4 linked regions of the Drosophila melanogaster genome follow. The protein of the gene in region 1 interacts with the protein of each later gene in a pairwise test. Each region holds a gene or a part of one and is shown in the gene's direction. Other genes may lie near its edges.

What was found.
Region 2: the proteins of CG10674 (region 1) and CG1544 interact in a two-hybrid assay, tested with the Drosophila melanogaster proteins (one large-scale study listed by BioGRID).
Region 3: the proteins of CG10674 (region 1) and mtd interact in a two-hybrid assay, tested with the Drosophila melanogaster proteins (one large-scale study listed by BioGRID).
Region 4: the proteins of CG10674 (region 1) and CG34267 interact in a two-hybrid assay, tested with the Drosophila melanogaster proteins (one large-scale study listed by BioGRID).

The regions. Positions count from the first base shown.
Region 1 is NT_037436.4:5,134,412-5,138,783, reverse strand, and holds CG10674 (uncharacterized protein), read left to right. Parts: upstream 1-2,491; 5' UTR 2,492-2,550; coding exon 2,551-2,706; intron 2,707-2,765; exon of another isoform or gene 2,766-2,773; coding exon 2,774-2,944; 3' UTR 2,945-3,036; downstream 3,037-4,372. Other genes in the region: Tcs5 (Threonyl-carbamoyl synthesis 5), read left to right, coding at 1-104; CG4611 (uncharacterized protein), read right to left, coding at 145-435, 492-2,312; Yod1 deubiquitinase, read right to left, coding at 3,350-4,372.
Region 2 is NT_033777.3:31,194,910-31,203,867, forward strand, and holds CG1544 (uncharacterized protein), read left to right. Parts: upstream 1-2,006; 5' UTR 2,007-2,102; coding exon 2,103-2,226; intron 2,227-4,261; coding exon 4,262-4,379; intron 4,380-4,547; coding exon 4,548-4,725; intron 4,726-4,811; coding exon 4,812-5,031; intron 5,032-5,494; coding exon 5,495-5,656; intron 5,657-5,999; coding exon 6,000-6,073; intron 6,074-6,149; coding exon 6,150-6,911; intron 6,912-6,971; coding exon 6,972-7,389; intron 7,390-7,445; coding exon 7,446-7,769; intron 7,770-8,138; coding exon 8,139-8,327; intron 8,328-8,462; coding exon 8,463-8,548; intron 8,549-8,632; coding exon 8,633-8,737; 3' UTR 8,738-8,813; downstream 8,814-8,958. Other genes in the region: mesh, read right to left, coding at 149-545.
Region 3 is NT_033777.3:5,320,270-5,326,159, reverse strand, and holds the start of mtd (mustard), read left to right. Parts: upstream 1-2,312; 5' UTR 2,313-2,721; intron 2,722-3,034; 5' UTR 3,035-3,172; intron 3,173-5,890.
Region 4 is NT_037436.4:499,020-502,909, reverse strand, and holds CG34267 (uncharacterized protein), read left to right. Parts: upstream 1-2,458; 5' UTR 2,459-2,536; coding exon 2,537-2,548; intron 2,549-2,611; coding exon 2,612-2,833; 3' UTR 2,834-2,896; downstream 2,897-3,890. Other genes in the region: CG34268 (uncharacterized protein), read right to left, coding at 1,571-1,810, 1,874-1,885.

The DNA.
Region 1 (4,372 bases):
TCCTGGCCGCCTATCGCACAGCGTGCGGTAAGGACGAACAGGCAGTGCTCACCAAGTTCGAGGAGGTGCGAGCACGCGGACGCAAAAGAACCATGATTGGTTAACGAATAATAATAAACTTTATTGGGAGTTAAACTTTTTAGCTTATTCTATCCTCTTCAAAGACTCTTTGGGAGGGTCATCCTTCAGCTCGTGTATCTTGATCTTCTTGATGTACTTTCGCTGTTTCGTTTTGTGCTTGAGCTGCTCGTGCTTGAGTGGTTCCATTCCGTTGACAGGCGGCAGCTTGAACTGGTCATACGGGCGCTCCTTCACCTTGGCAATGGCGTCCTCCAGCTTGAGACCGGACAGTCCCTGCTCCTCGTAGTACAGGCGGTATTTATCACAGAACTTAGAGTGGCCCTTCTTAAAGGCTGCCGTCTTGGTTGATGGATGCTGCATATACACAACAATTAATGATTTAACTAGCAGAAAGTTAGCTATAAACTCACTCTGGCATCAATGGCTCGCGCACAACCTCTGTGAAAGTTGTGCAGGTGCCGCAGGAAGGCTTCATTTGGCTTAAGGCCCTCCTCCAGACTCAACTGAATGATCTCGTTGACGTAGCTAAAGGATTTGTTAGCACATCCCTGCCGCAGCATGGCCCCCAGTATGGGCATGTTCATCTTAATGCCCGCCACATGCATCTGTTCCAGCAGTTCCCTAGCCTCTTCCTGCGTGCGACAACCCAAAGCGAGCACACCGTAGGTGACAATGTCCGGCCGCAAACCCGCCGTGCGAATCATGAGGAGCACTTCCTTGGCACTCTCGTAATCAAAGCGCATGGAACGCTTTTTAATCAGTATGTTGAAGAAGTCGATGTCCGCCTTGAGGCCAATCTTGCGCACAAACGTGAGCAGCTGCTTCTCGGCAGCATTTGTGGGCGGTATCACCTCCAGCATTGCGGTAAATGTCTCGATGTCCGGTGTAATGTTGTGCTGCTTCATGTGCTCCAGAAAGCCAGTGAGACCGCCGAGTAGCAAGAAACGTTCGTGTGGACGTGTCACCTCCTCCAGGGCCACCAGACTGCCCAGATGCGGCTGAGGCAGCAAAAGATTGGGCAGTTCCAGCTCGCTCGCTGTGGTGGCCACCTCAATTTGGGCAGGCAACGTAGTTGTGTTGGCTTCCACACTGGGTAAATCATCTTGCTGACCTTTCTCCAACTGGAGAACTGGTTTCTTTCTAGCAGCTGAGGGCGCAATTTTATCGATAACCTCTCGCATGGAATCCAAGTCACCGAAGCCACAATCCCTTGCACATCTCAGCATTGCATTGAAGCTGTAGTAGTCCGGGCTAATACCTCGCTGCAACATGTTGTGCCAAGTCAGCAGAGCATGCCGGAAACCGTGCTCCGAGTTGCTGGCACACGCCTGCAGCAGAAAGTTGAATGTATCTGCATTCAGTTCCAGCTGGCGCTCCATCATTTCGTCGGCCAGCATGTAGGCGGTGTCCACATCGCCACACCTTCCATACGCCTTGATCATGGCATTGTAGTTTTTCACATTTGGTTCGTAGCCCTTCTCGAGCATGTTCTCCCGCAGGATTTGGGCCTTGGCCAGGCCATCGCTCACGGAGGGAGCATTGGCGCAGGCGTTGAATAGCGAAGTGTAGGTTCCTCCGGTGACTTGAAGACCACGTTGCCGCATCTTGGTGTACAGGAAGAAGGCCTTGCGGGTGTAGCCCGCCTTGGCACAGCCACTGATCAGCAGATTGTATATGTACTTGTCCGGCTTGGCGCGATCCTCCTTTAGCATCCGTTGCTCCAGCACGGCGATGGCCTCATTTAGGCGATTCGCCTTAAGATGGTCCTTAATTTGGCGGGCGTATTCCACGGCTTTTAGTTTCTTTGAGCGCCTAGTGGAATTGCTAAGGAACTCCTCTTCCTCGACATCACCCGGGTCTTCTGTTGCAGCCACCTTGGCATCGCCAAAGGTGTCCGGATCACCAAAATCCTGCACCTTTTTGGTGGACTTCTCTTTGGGTTTCTTTTCTGGCTTAAACTTCTGGTGCTCCTTGGGTGCTGCTGTGATAAGTTCTTCAAAAACTTCTTCGCGAAAAGGATTCTGGTTCCTGTTGGCCTCTCGTTTGGTCTCCAAACCGGCTTGTTGATCCGTAATCCTCACGTGCAGCAGGCGATTTTGTGAGCAAGACCAAGTTGCAGGCAGAATAACCAGCCGGCTGATGTTGTAACTATTTAACCGTCTTCCGGTGGCATTTAATTGCAAGCCACGTATGTGGCAGCTCATTGAACGGCTAATCAACCGCAGAGCCATGTTATCTGTTGCAATTTTCTGTGATTTTTATGTAATTAAAAAAAAACTATTTTAAACGTGCGTGTGGCGGCGGTGTAAATAAAGAAACAGCTGATGAAGGGGCGTTGCCACCTTGTGTCCGAAATGCCAGTCAAATAAGAACGTAAGCAACCTGCACGGCATTCACATTCCACGCAAACATCCATTGCAATCTGACCTGGTTTTTCGATTAAATTGGTGAAAATTAAATAAATTAAAAATGAACATGACCGTGGATCCGCGCCGCAAGGAGAAGATCAACCGCTACAAGGCGCCCAAGAACCAGGGCCAGAGCGGCGGCGCCAACGAGGACATGATGCCGGATTACATGAACATTCTGGGCATGATTTTCTCCATGTGTGGACTGATGATGAAGGTAATAACACCCCAAAGATTACAACCAAGTGACTTGGCATTTATCAGTATGTAACCCACCTACACAGCTCAAGTGGTGCGCCTGGTTTGCGCTGTACTGCTCCTGCATTAGTTTCGCCAGTTCTCGGGCCAGCGACGATGCCAAACAGGTGCTCTCCTCCTTTATGTTGAGCGTCAGTGCGGTGGTGATGTCCTACCTCCAGAATCCCGCTGCCATGACCCCACCATGGGCTTCCTAGCACTGGACCTAAGATAACTATTTTAAATTTAATGTAATTGAACAGTTGAGAGCCTCGGTTTTGTTCGACGCTCAGTAAAAAAGTACGTACGTAGTTGGTTGCCTTGTGAATTCAGGACAGCTTTCTGGAACTTGACCTTATAGCTATATAGGTACCAACTCCAAGACTTGCCTAGTGTAGATGAAGGTATATTTTATTGCATTCCGAAAGGGATTAAAAGGGGACTAACATGAATACAGGCGGCTGGGCTCAATTCAATAATTAATAACTTAGGTAGGCGGTGATGTGGAGGTAGTACTGCTAATGAGATGACTCCTCGCACGGCGATTGTGGCTAGGTGGTGAGCAGGTAGTAGGCGAACAGCATGAATGCCACAATGTAGACGGTGCCGAAGATCAGGACGTATTAAATCTCTCCAAAGTTCTTGTGTCCGGTTTGCTTGGCATGCTCCTGGGCCTGCACCTGGCCGACCAGCCTGACATCGCACTGCATGCAGCGCAGCGTGAATTTATCCACATTGGTGTATTGGCGGGAGGACTGCGCCTCGTTGGCCAACTGCTCGGCCTGCTGATAGACGCCCAGCTCTTCCACCGGGAAGATGGTGGCCGGCGCAGCACTCGGCGATGTCTCCATGTACAGCGGATCGTAGTGGATGCCATCGAAGAGCAGGAAGACACGCAGTCCAAAGTTCTTGTCCTCGCCAAAGCGATTGATAATGGCGTTTTGTATGTCCACCACATCGATCTCAATGCCATAGTAGTTGGACAGTATGGACACTTCGATGGCGCCGCCCCACGAATCCGCCTTCTGTATCCAGGCGCAGTACTCGGCATTCGATTTGCCCAGCACGGCGTCGTTGTAGCTCTGCGGATCGGCGGCCACCTCCTGCGCAATGATGTGACGCATCATTTCGCTGCCCTCGTTGTCCACCTTCCCGTTGAGCACGAATCGTATGCTGGTGAAGAGGCACGAATTGTCCGCCGGCACCACCTTCTTCAGCAGTATGCCATTAAAGTCGCCATTCGGTCCGCTTTCCGTCGGCGCCACTGGCAGCTGGTAGTCTGCTGCCTGGGCGACTGGACCGCCAGCGGTTTCCTGCAGCAGCTGTGCCTCCTCCTCGGCCTGCAGACGACGCGCCAGCGCCTCGTCATCCTCCACGGTGGTGCCGCCAGGCACAGGGGCAGCAGGAGCAGGGGCAGCCTTCTCCTCCACAATCAGCGTCTCTCCGCTGTTGATTCCGACCGCCTTGAGGGCGCGCTGCTCCTGCTGCTGCGAGAGATCCAATGGCTTGGGCGGATAGCCTACTAGGACGTGCAATTGCGTCGCTTCGATGTCGGTGGCCTGGACTATTTTCGTTTTCAGCTCCCCCAGCGTCGTATGCTCGTTCAGGTCGTTGACAATGAATTGACCTTTTTTGGACTTGAGCTT
Region 2 (8,958 bases), on another chromosome or scaffold:
ACCTGAATGCCCGAACACAGGTTATCGAGCAAATATTGGTAACTAAACCAAACTGAAACCCACTGAGCTGTTCTGATAAGATAGTCAACGCGGCGTATGAGTAATGGGGTGGAACTGAATCAGCCCAGGGACAACGAAACCTACTCACCCCAATTGTAGCCGCTGTTGTCCACGTCGTACAGCTCCCCCAAATAGTCATTTGGCATGATGAGGGCTCCGAACATTTTCTCGGGCTTCAGTCCCGCGACGGTGAGGATATCATCTGTTCCCCGACTGCTGACATGCACCACGGGAATCAGAGTGGGCTTCTGCAGGGCCAGTGGTTTGGTTTTCGGGTTGTCCGCTTCCGCTTTTTTGGGAGCGGGCGTGGCCTTTGGAACCTCAACGAATTCCGCCTGAGCTTTGGGCTTAGTCACCTTGACCGGCTCCGGAACTGCATTGATTATTTGATCCTCGAACTCCTCCGTCGATATATTCTCGTTAGCCAGGACAAAGGCCATAAACCCGCAGGCCAGCGCACAAACCACAAACAGTTTGAAACGCATGTTCACTTGATTTCGATTTGTCACTTAATTGGTAATTCGTTTTTTCGTTTCACTGCTAAAAGAAAAACACAAAGGCATCAATTAGGCATCCACAATAAAAGTATCACTCAATAAGCACTCAATTCATGCGAATTTGTACACTATTTTTCCTCTGATATCCTCATTTTCTAACAATTTTCACTTGATGACATCATCAGTTAAGGCAATGGCTTATCAGTTCTCTTATCACTTGTCACCAATTTTCAATTTTAACTTTAATTACCAGGCAGGAAAACACGTTCGTTGCAGCGAGCCGCTCAGCTAAGACTGAAGTTAAGTTAACTCTAACGGCCCGATCGGGGCGTTGCCAAAACTCAGTTCACCTGTCGCCGTCTACTCGATTGTGAAACATTGCCTTATCGGCCAGATAAAGCTAGGCATATCTTATCAATGGAATACTACGCACCGATAACGCATTCCTTCTTCGGCCCGCTTGGCTTTTTCGGGAAGCTTCACTCTCTTCTCTGTGCTCCAAATTTACCAACCTATTTGTTTATGCCCATTCGTGGGACCGTTACCTATATTTCTCTCTGTTGACAATGGTCTCTGGCAGATTTGTGATTCACTTCCATTACAGTTAATCATACTCATGACGCGGCCATTTTGTGAAAAGCTGAATGGGCTGTAAAGCCTAAACATGTATGTGTGTGATGCGAAATTGATGAGAGCACGCTTCCGGTTTAATTATAGACAATGACCCATTACCGACCATTAATAGGCATTTCCGATGAAGCTTTAGAGTTATGAATATCAGCCGCCCGTAAAAAAGCCTACTGATGGATTTCATTAGGACATGAAAGTGTCATGGTCCTCATTAATGAAGAAATCAAGTGCAGAGTGGGGAACTCCAAATTAATAAAATCAAAGCGTTTTGAGGATCAACTTGTGTGACTAAAAGGGTATTATAAAACAATAATGCAGATAAACATTGCTATAATAAAAATCGAAGGATAAGATATATTTTTATAGTGGTTATTGTTAGGGGAAAATTGGTGTTGAAAATGTACCCCATATATCTTTTAAACAAACGACAGCATAATTATGTATAAAATATATATATAAATATAAAAATGTTTTTAACTATGGTACAGTTCATTTCAATATATTCCTGAGCATATGTATGACTAATTTAATGGATACAACTCTTCCCTCTCTCAAAGGCAATCCATTATTGGCCAACGAACCTGTTGCATTATCAGCTTTAGTTAACTGATAAGAAACTATTTTGAAATTCATTATCATCTCATACATGTGTTTAACAAGCGCTCTGTTAATTAACAGCGATCATATCACACCACCAGCCCAAAAGTAGGCACTACTTTTCGGAGGGATTTGTTCTCTCCCGGTTTATTTCCCAGCTTATCAGCAATTTAGTTTATTTGGAATATGGGGGTCCCGGCTTCAAACAAAAGTGAATTGCCCTTAGTTCTGGGTCGAACGGCGGCGAGAAGAGACCGCGATTTCGCTGCGAACTTATCAGGTGATCCGGCATACACGCCTCGTTTTTAATCCATCAGCATGCTGCGTTATCTGGCGCTTTCGGAGGCGGGAATCGCAAAACTGCCACGCCCACAATCGCGGTGCTATCACAGCGAAAAGGGCGTTTGGGGCTATAAGCCGATTGCCCAGCGTGAATTTCAAGGTACGGTTGTAAACAAGTGTGTTGCCAAGACTTCAATAAAAACCTCATCCGTCGAGATAACCATCGCATCGATAAGAGTCTTTCGGGATCAAACATTCATATGAATGGGCAGTGGAAATCTACCCAAGCAAAAAGAAAAACCGACGAAGTGACATTGTGTGCGTGTGTGTGCGTTCGTGTCGGATTTTCCAGCCGGCTATTTATCAGCGGAATTCAAGCAGCTGACCCACAACAATCCCCGCAGAAACTGCAATAAAACAACAGCCTGAACAAGAGATCAAGTGCAAATTGCTGTGGGTGAATTCGAAAACCAGTTTAAAGAAGATATATCATTTGTATACCCTGTAATCGGAGGGTATATACGGGAATACGTATGGATACCTAGGATTATTTTCACTAACTTCAGGTTTAACTTAATTTCGCAAAATATTTTTTAAATTGAAGTTCATTGTTTATGCCTCTCATACTATCGAGAAAGAACAGCTCCTGTTGACTGGTGGAATATTTTTTATGGTTTTAATGTTACCGTCTTTCCTGTTACCTACCCAAGCTAATCTCCACGTTCTCAGCTTATCACATGTTTTCACTCTGAAATCTGATAAACCCGAAATATATGGCGCTACACCCAGTACCCCGAATTTATAATTAGAATGAGGAGATTGTGGCAGACCCCCCGTGCAGTGCACTAATTAAGTGAAGAGAGGCGGATGTCCAGTGCAGAGATACTATATCTTTTCCCAAAACGCACGGCAGGGAGTCCAAAAAGGACCCGGCTAAATATCAAAGCCCGGCAAACAAAGGACCCCAAAACGGGAGCTTCTTTGTGCTTGTCCTGCATCCGTTGCGTACACAATTGGGGCTTATCGACACCATGGCCAACAGACACCAGTCACCAGTTGGTAGTTGGTAGTTGGATAGTCTGCCAGGAGCCTTTGACTGGGCACCAGAGGAAAGCCTTCAACGCTTGACCATGTGACATCAGGCGCCTAGGATGATGCACATAGAGAAAATCAAGTCTAGGATTTACTCAGGCTTTGGAAAAGTATGTTAGATATTCTAAAGCAAACCCAATTGACCAGTATTTTGAATTATGGTAAAGCGTACTAAAACTGACTTTAAGCGTTAGTTTTGCCTCAGTGTAGTATCGGTATAATTCGCCTTGTTTGCCGTTCGTCCTTTGGCTGCATTTCTGTCAGGGCAATCATTATCCTTGGCAAAGGACGCGCCGCTGTGCTCCAATAATATTTACACGCTCAAGCTGAAATGTTGTCACCGCAAATACAATTCATCATACACCCTGTGCTCCTGTCCAAGCGACCTACTCTTTAACATTAAATTGATTTATGGCCGAAATGCCGTCGAGAAATTGCATAAATTTCTGAGGACGACTTGGGGTCGGTCTAACTGGCAAATGCCAGCTGTCCCACGGATTTCGAATTTTCAGGGTACTGTAATCGAGTGATATGCGTCATCGCATATAAATCCTGTAAGCAGGATAACACTTTAACACGTAAACACCTAAGCAGCCAACGAGTTGTCAATGGCTCAACCAGGGAATAAAATATCCCAACAAAGGCAATAAAAACAACAATCGTAATTTCTCATATGTAGCACGAATTGCTTGCCATCGGGAAGCACAAACGTCGTGGTACACTCTATAGTTTTAAATTCGATGTAAATCTGCTAACTGGAATAACTAACGATATATGTATATGATAAGAATATATGTTCTGCACGCAATCTCAATAAGCCCCATTTAAATCTTTAGCCAACTCCTTTCGACATTTTCCACTCGAATTCATATCGAATGCCAAATATTTGCCGGGTAAATACGATTCAAAAGTGCACATACCTGGCAGCTAGTCCATCAAAGTGAAGCAAAGCGTAAAAAGCAAAGAATAAATATCATAAAAGTAAAAGGCCAATAAATTCAAAAGGCCGAACAACGTGGCAACGGGGCGATGTGCACGTGAATCCTTTTTTAAATAATTTATAACGTGGGGCGAAATTTATATTGTTTACGCGTGTGTTTCAGTGGCCGAGGATGTGCGGGCCTCAAGGAACTCGCAGGCCAACGTCTATCGCTTTGTGGAGGCCTTTCGCCAGCATGGGCACAAATTGGCAGCCGTAAATCCCATCAGCATCAGGACGAGGTAGGAGGCTCCAGCACCCAGTACCCAGCTCCCAGCTCCCATTTTCCCATACCCCTCCCGAAATCGTCCTGGCAAATGTCATATTTTATTCTCCCTTTCTGGCTGCTTTGTAATATCGCCCCGGCTGCGTGTATTTGTCTTGTGAATTTTCGTGGCTACTGGACACAGCCAGCAGGAGCTGCAGGAATTAAGTCCCGCATTTTATGGACTGCAGACACAGGAGCCGGTGCGCACCGATGGCCTTTTAAGTGGTCCGCAGGTGGCCCACAACGTCGCCCAGCTGGAGCAGCTGCTCAAGGACATTTACTGCGGCCGCTCAACCAGCGCCGAGTTCTCCTACGTCGAGGTAGGTGTCCCGTCCTATCGCATCTCATCCCATTCCACCGCATCCCATAAACATTGCGTGCTGATCCCGCTGCCTCATTTTCGCAGGACATCGAGGAGCGTGAGTGGCTGGCCCGGAACTTTGAGACGCTGGACCAGCAGCAGCTGGGAAAAAGCGAGCGCTGCGAAATCGCCGAGCTGTTAATTAAGTCGCAGGCCTGGGACAATTTCATGGCACTCAAGTTTCCCACAGTCAAGCGATACGGAGGCGAAGGAGCCGAGTCCATGCTAGCCTTCTTCTGGCAACTGCTCCGTGACAGTGTCCAAGGTGAGTTTCCCACGCAATGCCATCATGAAGTTATTTGGATGCATCACTCCGTTGAACATCGATTTGGCAAAGCAACATTCATAAACTTCTACGATTAAGTCCATTTTATTCCAAATTTCAAAGTTTCATCCCATATTTATGACATGATTTATACGGTCTCGTGCGTGTGGACCGCTCCTTAAACGCGATTAGCAAAACGCGGAATCGCGCACCCATTTCAAGACGCCGAACTTTGTCTCGTGACAGTCCGCAGAGATGGTGAATCTGCTCCTCGGAATTTGAGCTAGCCCACCTGAACTCTAGCCAGCATTCCAAACTTCCTTCCCACAGGCATGCTCACATATCATCGCACGCTTACTTAACCCTAATCTGCTTTCTCAAAACTTTTCCCTCTCGCATGCTACCCCGAAAAACAACGGAAACGACGACAACGATAAAAAAAAATTATACAATGGAATGACAGCGAACATCGAGCACGTGGTCCTGGCGATGCCCCATCGAGGAAGGACTCCGCTGCAGGCGGCGCTCCTCAACATGCGGCCGGCGAAAGTTTTCCGCAAACTCAGCGGCGCATCCGAGTTTTCCGAAGACATCGAGGCCATGTCCGACGTCATAAGTCATTTCCGTAAGTGAAACTTTGCCGGGGCGTTCGGTGGGCTTACAGGTATAGTAGGGTATTCTGGTATATTCGTTTATTACACGGACAAGAAGGATCTGAAGTTGAATTGACCGTAAAATAGAAACAGGAGAAAAAATGTAACATATAACTTATTTATAGTCAATTATTTATCCCAAAGTATTTAGTACTAGGTATGGATTTTAATATCCTGGGTATTTCATAGTCTTCATTTGAACTAAAATCCCTTCATCCCATCCTTTTCGTGTGCGCCAAGCAGTCTTAGCCTTGCTGGCCTAAGCACACACGGCGTATGCTTAATTTAATAAAACCTGAACCGAATCGCACACAGATGTTTCCGAGCAGCTGAAAATACTGGGCAAGAAGCTGAGCTTCAGCATGGTGCGGAATCCCTCCCATCTGGAGGTAAGCCGACACACGTCAAACTTTGAAATTTGATTTCTAATTTAAGCATCGTGTTCCTCCTTTATCCCACTTCTAGGCGGCCAATCCTGTGGCCATGGGAAAAACGCGATCGAAACAGCAAGCCAGAGGAGAGGGTGCCTTCGGGGATGGCAGTCAGCCCTTTGGAGAGCACGTGCTCAACGTAATCCTTCATGGTGATGCTGCGTTCGCCGGCCAGGGAATCAACCAGGAGTGCCTCAACATGGCCTATGTGCCTCACTTCGAGGTGGGCGGAAGTCTGCACCTGATTGTCAACAACCAGGTGGGATTCACCACGCCCGGAGATCGAGGACGATCCACTGCCTACACCTCAGACTTGGCCAAGTCTATTCAGGCTCCTGTGTTCCATGTCAACGGCGATGATCCCGAGGCTTTGGCCAGGGTCACAAGCTTGGCCTTTAGGTACCAGAGGGAATTCCGCAAAGACATCTTTATTGATCTGAACTGCTTCAGAAGGTGGGGTCACAACGAGCTGGATGACCCCACCTTCACCAATCCCTTGGTCTACAAGATTGTTCACCAGCGGGAATCGGTTCCGGACTTGTATGCCCAGCAGTTGGCCAAGGAGCAGGTTCTATCAGAATCGAAGGCCAAGGAGATGAGGGATGAGTACATGAAATATCTAGGCGAGGAGCTAGCCTTGGCTCCTGCATACCAGCCACCACCTTCCTACTTCGAGAAGCAGTGGACGAACTTTCAGTTGGCTCCCTCCAAGGAGCTAACCTATTGGGACACTGGCTTGGATTACTCACTACTTCATTACATTGGTCAGCAGAGTGTGACTTTCCCCGAAGACTTTGTAAGTTAGCTCAGATATGTGTATATATATATATTCTAAAGGTTTTTTCCTGGGTAACAGAACATCCATCCCCACCTGCTGAAAACGCATGTCAATGCTCGGCTGAAGAAACTGGAAAACGGAGTCAAGATCGATTGGTCCACAGCCGAAGCCCTGGCTATTGGGAGCCTGATGTACCAGGGACACAATGTGAGGATCAGTGGTGAGGACGTGGGTCGGGGAACCTTCTCCCATCGCCACGCCATGCTGGTGGATCAGCAGACCAACGAGATGTTCATTCCCTTGAACAGCATGGAGGGCGGAAACGGTGGAAAACTGGAGCTGGCTCACAGTATTCTGTCGGAGGAGGCGGTGCTGGGATTCGAGTACGGCATGGCCATTGACAATCCCAACAACCTGATTATCTGGGAAGCGCAGTTTGGTGACTTTGCCAATGGAGCACAAATTATAATCGACACCTTCATCGTCTCGGGAGAAAGTGAGATGGAAATAGCATCTTTTCTCCGTACTGATTTTAAAGAATTTCTTAACTAGCCAAGTGGATGGAGTCCAACGCCCTTGTGATGCTACTGCCCCACGGATACGACGGCGCTGCATCGGAGCACAGTTCCTGTCGCATCGAGCGCTTCCTGCAGCTCTGCGACTCCAAGGAAACATCCGCCGATGGCGATTCCGTCAACGTGCACATCGTGAACCCCACCACGCCCGCCCAATACTATCATGTGCTGCGTCGCCAACTGGCAAGGAACTTCCGCAAGCCCCTCGTGGTGGTGGCCCCCAAAACGTTGCTCCGTCTTCCTGCGGCCACATCCACGCACGAGGACTTCCAGCCGGGCACGCTCTTCCACAATGTCCTGGGTGAGTAATGGCTTCTGTTTATCTTCACGGACTCGAGGGATAGCGAGTGGGGTCATGGCATGACTAGGGTACTATGTCTCTGTCCCTAGGCAAATATGTAGAAAACTACTATAGTTAAATCTATTAAAAATACACCTCGTTGGCCAAAATAGTTATTGGCCACATACATAAAGGCAAACTAGCAATATAAACTTTTCAGATTTGCAAAGCACATAATTGACTTTTAATGCCACATATATCTTTTTATATGCTGTCCTGCTCCTATGAATTGTAAAAAGATGTTTACGTAAATTCAGGGTTATTATACTACGATATTAATCCACATTTTCTTCTTTACTTTCCCCTGTTATTACCCACCCCCAACGATAGGAGACACCATAGCGAAGCCTGAGCAGGTGCGCAAGGTCATCCTGTGCAGTGGAAAGCACTACTACACTCTCGCCGAGGAGCGGGAGAAGCGGCAGGCCTACGACACGGCCATTCTGCGCCTGGAGTCCCTGTGTCCTTTCCCCATCCAGGAGCTGCAGGCCCAGCTGGCCCAGTACGGCAACGTGCAATGTGAGTCCATCGTAAACTTAGGCCACAAAGTTGACCGGATCTGTATTTGCTATCGTTTTTATACACGAAAAAATATAACTAATATCTTTCTTGATATATATATTGTACCACTATATATATTTTCTCTGCGTGCAGCTTTTGTTTGGAGCCAGGAGGAGCATCGCAACATGGGCGCCTGGACGTTTGTGCGGCCACGTTTTGAAAATTTAATTGGCCAACAGGTAAAAAGTCGGCCTGCCACCGGCGGCCTCAGAAAAAGCTCTAGACACTTTTCACTACCAACCGATTTTCCCCGCTTTCCACAGCTCCACTACTGCGGTCGCTGCGAGGCACCCACCCCCGCCACCGGAATCGGAAAAGTGCATAAACGGGAAGTCGATGAGATTGTTGCTGCCCCATTCGAACTTTAGGGCGAACCCGCCTCCTCAGCCGGTGCATATATCACAAAGTACTTTAGCTCAATTAAACTGCCAAAAATGTTTGTGTAAAAGCAGAAAACAAGACTTTTGAAACGGTTGATCGTGGGAATACCCTCAAATTTCATCACTTACAAAATGTTTGGATGAGTTTTTAGTGGATTTAAAATATCTCTTTTTATTTATTTTGTTATTACTCGGTGTACGAAGTGAAA
Region 3 (5,890 bases), on another chromosome or scaffold:
ATTGGACCACACCAGCACACACATGCCGTTGCCATTTGGCCATTTGGCAAGCCAAACCACTTGCAACCTGGCTATTTTTAGCAGCTGCAACAAAAAGCCGTCGTTTTAACACTGCGGCCAGATACTTAGCCATTCGGATTTGGCAGTACCTTCCGCCATTTTCCGGGGATACAGCCACCAACTGGGGAGTGGAAAATTCAGCGAAAATTAAGAAGTACACGTTTTTTTTTCTCTACTCTGACTTTGCATATTCAACAGCTCAGAGACAGCGGACTGAGCACTTTGCCTGTTGGATGAAAACTATTTTTAAGCTTCAATCGGTTCGCAAAGCTGAGCGGCGAAATTGCCATTCGTTATTTAAATGAAGCTGCTTAAAAGGGAGTATTTTCACTACTGTTCAACAGCCAAAAGAGAGTTTCTTTTTATGGAAATCACCCGGAGAAAACTCAACCCCCCTGAATGCTAATCAAGGGTATAAATAAGATAGTTGTTTGCAGGACGAGAAGAAATATAAAAGGTGAGTTTTCACAAACACAACATTTTTTCAAAATAAAGTTGGAGTGGCGTTAGTTGGCTTATTCTAGTTCAATAGCACCAATGGCTAATTACAGGTTTGTCTTTACTTTTGCCAATAGCAAAACCAAAACACTACACTGTCAATTCTTTATGGCCATAGAGCCAATTAACATTCGGAGCTGAGTTCGTGTTGAAAGCAATGAGTTGGCTGTTTAAAGTCAAGATTCTTTAAACAGGTTGATAAACCTCCGATTGGTAACATTGGTTACCTCATACTTTACTTCGAAATATCTTAAACTTCACCCACTAGAATTATTCAAAAACTTAGAAATTGCTTCTACACTTTGCGAAGGTGGTGTTGTATGATTCCTACCTCACCTGCGACTGGTTTGATTAGAGACCCTGATAAGCTATGCTTATAGCCATAGCGTTAGCCATAGGTATAGCCATGTGCATAACCATAGTCATAGATTTAGTCATAGCGCTGGCAATACATGCGATTGCGTTTTTTAGTGGCCCCCAAGGCGCATTCAAAACATTTACATTTTAGTTCAGACAATTTATGATTGTGTAATAATATTGAAGGCTGAAAATTGTAATCGTCCGAGTCCGAAAAACTGTAAATAGTCAGAGGGGGGGGGGGGGTGAAGATGGAGGGTGCGAACGGGACGGAGAACGAGCGGCAGCTAAATGATGTTGCACTTTTTCTGATTTCGACGAGTTGCGTACTTTGAAATTTGCATAATTCGCAATTCGAGCCCAGTCATGCGTCTTAAATGAGGCAAAGAAAGAGGAAAAAGTCAGAGGTTGCAAGCTAAATGGAAGAAATGCCCAAGGTCGGATTGTAAATTCTATTTTTTCTGTTTCTCCGCGTTGAAATGCAGTTCACCTTAGGGCAAATTCTCTGGGCAATTGCTGCGGCCTTGGCGGTAATTTCCTTGTCAGGTGAAAAACACAGGTGGCAGGGGGTTGGCCAGATAATTGTACCACTTTCACCCCCTCAACAGTGACCTACATTAAAGTTGAGGAAATGCATTTGCCGCCGAGGAGCTGGGAGCGAAATCAAATAATTACAGCGGCGTCACATGGCGTATGAGTAATTTAAATGAAATTACAAAGTCGCCGCAGCTGACTAACCTCCAAAAAATAATAGCAATTGCAATTCAAAACAAGTTCATTGCACATGCGCCCCAGCATTAGAAGCAACAAATCGAATGGGAAACGTACCGAAACTTTGATACCCTTTTCGGATTAGATGATGATATAGATGGTATCTAGCACTGCTACAAATACTAAATAATCGAACTGAACCCATTTGAACGATTTTAATTAGTTACATTTTATTACTTGTAACTTATCTACTCTGTCTATCTACTGTTCAACTGTGATAAAGTTAGAGTATCTTTCAAGATCCTCTGCCATGGTGTCAACACTCCTGGAAAGTGTATTAAAATCAATCGGCAGTCGTACGTTTCGCTGGCAACATGTGTCCAAACATCGCCAAGTGGAAGTGGAAATAAACGGAAATAAGCCAAACTCAAGCAGGTTTAGGTTTTTGGCCTGCAACAAAAACAAAAACGAGTTTGTTGCAGCACATGTGGATGTGTATGTGTATGTGGATGTGGCTGCCCCGCGAGACACGACATATGGACATATTGCTTGTAACATTTATACAAATGTACTCTGTTCGCTTCATAAAGTTAGAGTATCGTGCATGTTGCCCCGCAACATGTGCTCTCGCTGGCAACATGTGTCTAAACATCGGTAAGCAGACAACTTTTTTGTGGATCGATTCGATCAGTTTAAGTTTTCCATTTGCACCGAACGCAACGCAAGTAGCTCCCACAAAATCGGAATCAGCCGAAACGAAAACGGAACACAAATAACAGAACGCGCGCGCTCAAAGTCAGTGCTTGATACTAAGATATAGCACAGATATACTACATACATATGTATGTGGAGCATCGGCGATAAATATTGTAAAATTATTTTTAAAAATATGTTCGACTCGTGTGCGACTGTTTGTGCGACGCCGACCAACGCAGTCCGCAAATTATTTTTCTGCACTCATTTCATTTGGCGATTGTCCGTTGCAATTCGGCCATTGGTGTCCGTTTTCCTGGCGAAAGAAATATATTAAGTTGTTTAATTTAACATCCGTGCTCGGGAATTCGCTATAACAGCATATACACGAGAGTTTTTTAAGTGAGAGCGAGATTTTTCTGCAAAAAATATTAATGCAACTGTAAATAACATTGCCCCCCACTTTTGTTTTAAATGGCTTAAATTTAACGCCCTGTCAAAATTGAGTTTAACATTAAGGTCATTTGAGTTCAAAAAGTCCCTTGCAAGCAAGCAATTAATCGAAAGCATACATGTTTCAAGGCATTTAATTTAAAGTAAATTACGCGGGGCATTCTCACAATTGACCAAATTTTCGCTGAGTCTCGGACTCCCAAAAATTCCGAGTGCATAAAAGTAATTATAATTATACTAATTCAACCACAAATGTCCACAGAATATACAAGTATAATTGAAAATATAAGTGTACGCGAGTGCCAATACTGTGAAATCAATACGAATGAGAAATGTGACTAACCAATCAAAGGAAAGCAATTGTGCCAAACCTCGTTGAAAGACAACAAATTAAAAAAAGGTATAGAAATATTTGCAACCATTTGTGATGCAAATGGTAATGGATGCAAAATAATCGTAATTAATGGCTGCGCTTGCAATTTAATTTTTGGCCCAGCTTGGCTTTAATTTCGTCTCTCTGCTTCTCTCCTTCGCCATTCTGTTTTGCGATTGCTTTAGGCGCGGCTTGCGGTTTTTTCGGATTCTTGGTGAAGCGAACGGTTTTATTTTAGTCGCTTGGCTTAGTAAACCGTTCTAATCGGCATTATTCGCAGATTCTTTTGGCTTTTTCTTTGTTCGTCGCTTATTTGGCTTGCCTTTCCAGCTGCGAAATAGAAGCAACTTAGTTTATTATATTCCTCAGCTGCAGGTCATGACATTCGTGAAATATCTTTTTGTTAGTGCCTATTATTGCTTACGACGACTGGAAGCAGCAAAGAAAAAATATAAAAAACAGCTGACCACGTCAAAAGAAACCAATGAAAAAAAAACTTGGCCAACAATGACGAATACGGCGAACACAAAAGCAAAGACCTACGCCTAATTTAAGGTCATCAGCACAGTAAAACAACAACACTGGCAATAAGCCGAGGAAGAAGCAGCATTTACTGCTTATGGCTACGAAAAAAAAAACTAAAGTCGCCGGCGTCTCTGATTTTTTCTTCGGATTTTCTGATTTTGTCTATGGCCCTTCCATGCCATTTGCGTGGAGAATTATCGGGCAACGGCACAAAAAGCCATGATTGCACGTACACCAATGCACTCGCGTTCGTGTTCGTACATCCCAAATAAAACAGTAACAGTTGCTGCTCCCCCTCCCAAAAGCTCAGCTCATTTGCCTTCTCGGTTTGAACAGCAAAATGGAAAGAAAGCCCCTAGAAAACAGTGATGATAGTACTGTAGTTAAACCAGGTTTCCAGTATTTAACCATTGTATCCATTTTATATATCTTAAATTTCGTATACTTACCATACATACATACTTACAAGAAGATAAAAGCTTAAATAAGTAATTATTATTAATAATTATTGATACCTAAAGAAGTTTCCAAACTCCCAACCTATCTATGTAGATCCAAACCAGTTTCGAAAATCCGGCAGACTGAAAGGCGACTGTTGCGGATGCTTTGGTTTTCCGACGAGAAAAGTGGAAAAGTGGAAGGCAGCCCCACTCGAGATAATCGATGGCTTTGGTCTTCTCTCTCGTGCGCTTGTTTATGTTTTTTATAAATAGCTCAAAAAATGCGTAAAATGAGCAGGCAAAAACAAGGTATAATTAGAATAAATGTTAAGCCCAACCACTGACACATGTACACTAAAACTGGGCGTGCAAGAATATATCTGGTGAGGTTTTGGGCCAGAACGTGTAATGCATTTCTATCTATAAGTTGTGATACGCTCCATCAACACTTGATAGCATAATTAATGCGGATTAACATTTCAGCTTCTATTTCGACGCAAGTCGGCACAAAGCGTTCGTATAATATTTATTGACAAAGCCATTTATCACGATGTCCGCTGGGTGTGCATAATTTTGGGGCCACGTGATGTCGCCCGACTTATAGATAGTGGTACACAGCGAGTACAAAATTATATACCTACATATGTATTTAGAAGTCAGTACTATCTAAAATAAAGGTGGGGTGGCCCACCTAAAAGTGCGACTGACTGACTATGCAAATCAATTGAAAGTGTCAGGAAGCGATGGGGAGAAATGGAAGTGGGAAAATTAAAACGAGCAGCAAGGGGGGTAAATTGGAAATAATAATTTTAAAAACCAACACGGAAATGCAAATTCCCATTTTGTATCTACGCATAGCCGCATCTGGTTTTAACTTTTATTGATTTTAAGTGACACGTCCACGCGATTTGAACGAGGAAGTCTCTGAGTCACTTAGCTGTTGTGTCATTATTGCACAATGATTATGGCTGCCAAAAGGAGGCTTGTCGCAGGACAGAATATTTAAATCTGCCTGTTCAATAATTAAGTATACAAGCATGAGTACTTTTATGAGCTGCTTTTCGCCGTGTTGTCTCCGCATGTGATTTATTTATGGTCTTTTGTTTGCCCCTGCCCACTGTGCCTGACTTCGTCGAATTCTACTTGGCCCGGACAAAGAGCCTTACTGCTGTTTGTTTGCTCAAGTTGGCGTGAAAACAGTGTCATAATTACACAAATAAATATAAGTCTCTAGATATGTATTTATAGGTATGTACATATGTATACATACCTGTCGGTGCGCCGAAATTCAAACAAAGGCACTCGAGATGTCCGTCCAATCGCATTCAGATATTCGAGACCACGAGAGCACTCTCGATTATCATCTAATACTTTGTGACTGGCCGTCGACAATCGATGATTTAATAAATTCCCTGTTTAGGTATCATAAAATGTTTATTACACATTTACGATTCGGTGGCCCAAATTGTGCCAAATTTGCAAGAGCAGCTGCCAAGAAACTTTTCCGGCAATATGCTCAATAAATTTTTAATGTATATATTTTAGGCTTGAACAGATAAGACCAATTAAATAAAATACGCCTTAGGATTTGCGTGGGCATTAAATAAAATGTGTCAAAGTTTTTAGTTTCGAGAGGGAGGATTTCAGCACTTTGTAGGCAATATGTTAGATTATAAAATGTGTTTCAGTTAACTGATTTAAAGATTTACGAGACGTAGCATTTCTTTTTTGACGGCTTAGATCCGCAATGAATACATAAATTAGAAGGTGCCAAATCTCA
Region 4 (3,890 bases), 4.6 Mb from region 1:
TGTAACTTGATTACACTATTATCGAAACATTGAAACAAACAATTTGTTAATACGGCTAAAACGGCTGACTGGGGCGAATCTAACTCCAAATCCAATACGATCGAAAAACATTTCTCTGCTTCATCGATCGGAAACACGCCCAAATCCACAAGAGAATAACACACGAGATAGAGATGGACTGAAGGGGGGGGGGGGGGGGTCTCTCAAGTTCAATTGAGTTTCACTTTCCTTCATAATTTAAATTAACAATTATAGCGGATAATTAACAAAATGAAAACAAAAGCATCGAAGGCAACTCCCCCTGAGCGGCTACGAAAAATATTATTACAAACTGTTGGATAATTTATCAAATGAGCTGCGGATAGGATAGGATTGGGTAGCTGGGCGACGATGAAGTCATTACCACAGACAAAAAAGAAACCACACAAAAGGAGAGACAGGCCCAACAAAAAGACGACGTCACATGTGAAGCGGATCAAATGATTTCGTCATAATCGAGCAGCAAATTACTATTTTTTCCCCCTAATAGAGTAATAAAATTGCCCAACTCTGGCCGAGAAATTTACTTTAAACTGAAAAGGAAGTGGAACCTGAATGGTAGCAGCAGGCTGAAAAACAAAGCTGAAACTGAAAATCGAAACCGAAATGAAATGTGGGGAAAATTAAGAAGAAAACGCTAACAATAAATCTTTTGGCAATAGAAAAAACAAAACCTGCCACAAAAAAGGCCCAAAAAGCCTGTTCACAAAATTGACTTTCGAACACAATTTATTTTTATATTTTTGTCTGCTTATTTCGATGTTATTTTTTTTTTTTGTTTTACCAAATCGCTTGAGAGTTTTTCTAGCCAGCGATTTAATAACCCGAATAAAGCCCCAAATAAAAAACAATGAAAAATTAATGTACGATCCATTCAGGTTCATCATCGACACGAGATCGAACCGCAACCGGGGAAAAAGCCAAAGGGAAAGGCGGCTGGCTCAGAGTGTTTGAAGCGGGCTGTAAGGCTTTGCTTTGTCGCCACTTTAATTGGCTCAAATTAAAGACGAGCTGGGATTGGGTTTTAATGGCAACGTCTGTCGGGTAAGGGGTGGTGGGAGGGGGGGAGGTGGAGAAGATGCAGCTGCAGTTTAGAGGCGTCACTTTATTCCGCTGATTAATGAAGAAATTTCCCCTGGAAGCTTGCCGCCTTGTTAACGACTTTATGTGTGACTATTCGCAAATAACAAAATGAGCGAGGTGAAATTAAATTTTACAAAATGTCCCATAAAATAATCAGTCAGCCATGGAAACCACTGGGGTCTGCGGACAACTTTAGTTGCTATAAAATGTGTAAAATGGAAAGTGCTGACCACGAAAGGGTGTTGGGTACGTAATTTTTACGAGAATTATTTCCTTGATGTAGGAAAAAACATGCATCATTTAATTGTAAGTATAAAAATTAAGCCAGTCCCGATGGCATGACCCAAAAGTTTATCCTCGCTCTATACCAGAAAATAAAGATAAGTTCGATTTGGTTGGCAATTTATTTATGTCGGGTCAATTTCTAATGGGGTTGTGCTACAATAATTTAACCATGGTAGATGTGGTGTCCATAGGTGGGAACAGCGTAGGACTTCAGCACAGGGACATGCTGAACCACTGGGACATTTTTCACCACCGGAACATGCTGCACCACTGGAACATGCTTCACCACCGGAACAGATTTCACCACGGGCACCACCTGGGCCACAGGAACCACTCCGTAGGAGGGCTCAATGTAACCAGGAGCAGCAAAAGCCATTGCTACCAGGGCGAAGATTACAGCGATCTAAGGAGATATTTTGTAATATGAAAAATCCTAAGGATTTACTTTATAATTTCGTGAACTTACAATGCGGAACATTTTGGTATTTTGTTGTGAGTTAAAAACTTTAACTTGTGGTTATCGAACGTTTGTGTTAGCCGGACGACTGTTGTTGATTGACCATCCGTGGAATCATTATATATAGTAGTTAGCACCTCAGCCGAAAATAGCCCACAAATGACTTCTGTTCGAACGCCACGCGCCAAACCAGTTTAATTATCTTAAATTTGGTATCTTCGAATAATGCGCATTCTATTTGGTATGAAACCATCTCCAGCGGCGAACTTCCCGTTATCGGTCGTTATTGCTTAACCTTTGGACATAATCCCCATTCAATGACTTCTCAATTGTTTGCTGTTTTTAGATCCGTGTGCTTATTATTGTTTACTTCCAAGACCATTGTCATTATATCGATCGTCTTCACGCGTTTGTGATGATCACCAAGAACCAAGGTCATGTCCACAAAAAAAGACCTATATGAGGCACCTTTGGGTCAACTGATAAATCCATTCTCTCAATTAAACAGAAGAATTATGGCCAAACACGTTTGCCCATTTAGAAGTTGTTATTGAAGTGATTTTTGGCTATATAAAGTAACTGATCCATTGGTCAGCATCACCAGTCGTCCTACAAGCATCCAAGTGACAATATCTCCAAGTCAAGTTTGTAAATTACTAAGAAAATACCAAAATGTTCCGCATTGTAAGTTCACGAAATTATAAAGTAAATCCTTGTGATTTTTCATATTACAAAATATCTCCTTAGATCGCTGTGATCTTCGCCCTGGTAGCAATGGCTTTTGCTGCTCCTGGTTACATTGAGCCCTCCTACGGTGTGGTTCCTGTAGCCCAAGTGGTGCCCGTGGTGAAATCTGTTCCAGTGGTGCAGCACGTTCCGGTGGTGAAGAATGTCCCAGTGGTTCAGCATGTCCCTGTGCTGAAGTCCTACGCTGTTCCCACCTATGGACACCACATCTACCACGGTTAAATTTTGGAAAGAGCTCAATCGATATCGCACGGGAATAAATAAAATGTTTATGCTTGTAAAAGGAATCATATTTGACTTACTTGTCTCAAATCAAATGCACTTCAAATGAGTTTACAACTTCTGTGATTTATTCGCAGTATTTGCAGTGTGTGCGGATTATTTTCTCATGTCCCGCCGAGTTTTTGTATCCAACAACCCATTAAGAGCTGCAACAGAATTTTCTTCGGTCTGGTCCGATCGGAAATTTTTACGCAAGCCGTAAATGCGCCAAAATCTGGAACACAAATACGTTTTTCTCTGTTTTCGCGTTAGGGGCTTTGTAGTTTATTTGGTGCGGATCGAGTGATAAAAGCCAAATGTGCGCCTCGTTCCAGGCACCCAAAAGATACGGAGATTGAGCAGTTGCGTGGAACACATTTGGCAGGCTGTTCGCTGGTGAATTGACTCTTTGCACCGACTGAAGGTGATTAATGGACGCCAAGAGGAGCGGAGCGGAGTGGAGTTCAGTTGCGAAGAGTTGAGAGTAGCCGTACGATACTTCTTAAACGGTAGTTAAAATCTAACTAACACGCGAGAGAAAGAGTTTGCGTTTGCAGAGTTGGCTGATGAAAACGCTTGCGGCTGGCATTGAAGACTTCTATAAAATGGAAAGGGGGAGGCTTTTCTTGCTGACCCACTTTTGGCAGACAGAAAAATGTATTTGCCTTTGCTGACTGGCTTGGCTGGGCACTCCAAGAATTGTTAACAGCAATTTAGTGGTTATTCGCTTCTTCTTCGGCTGCTAAGTGTATTTTATTGTTCGCCAATTGCTGTTGTTGTCTTGTTAACGCTTTTTATAGCCGCCTTTTGCTTTTCGGCCAACTCTATTTGTCGAGTCTTTCTCTCCATGCAGATGTATCCCACAGATACATTCATTAACTTGTTTGCAGTTACAGTTTCCCTGTTTCCCCTCGCCGGTGATTTATGCTATCGCCAGCGTTTGTTCGTATATTTAGACATTTCCTATGTGTTGTCACCTCAATTTTTTCCTGCACTTGCTCAACTTTTTTATTTTAAT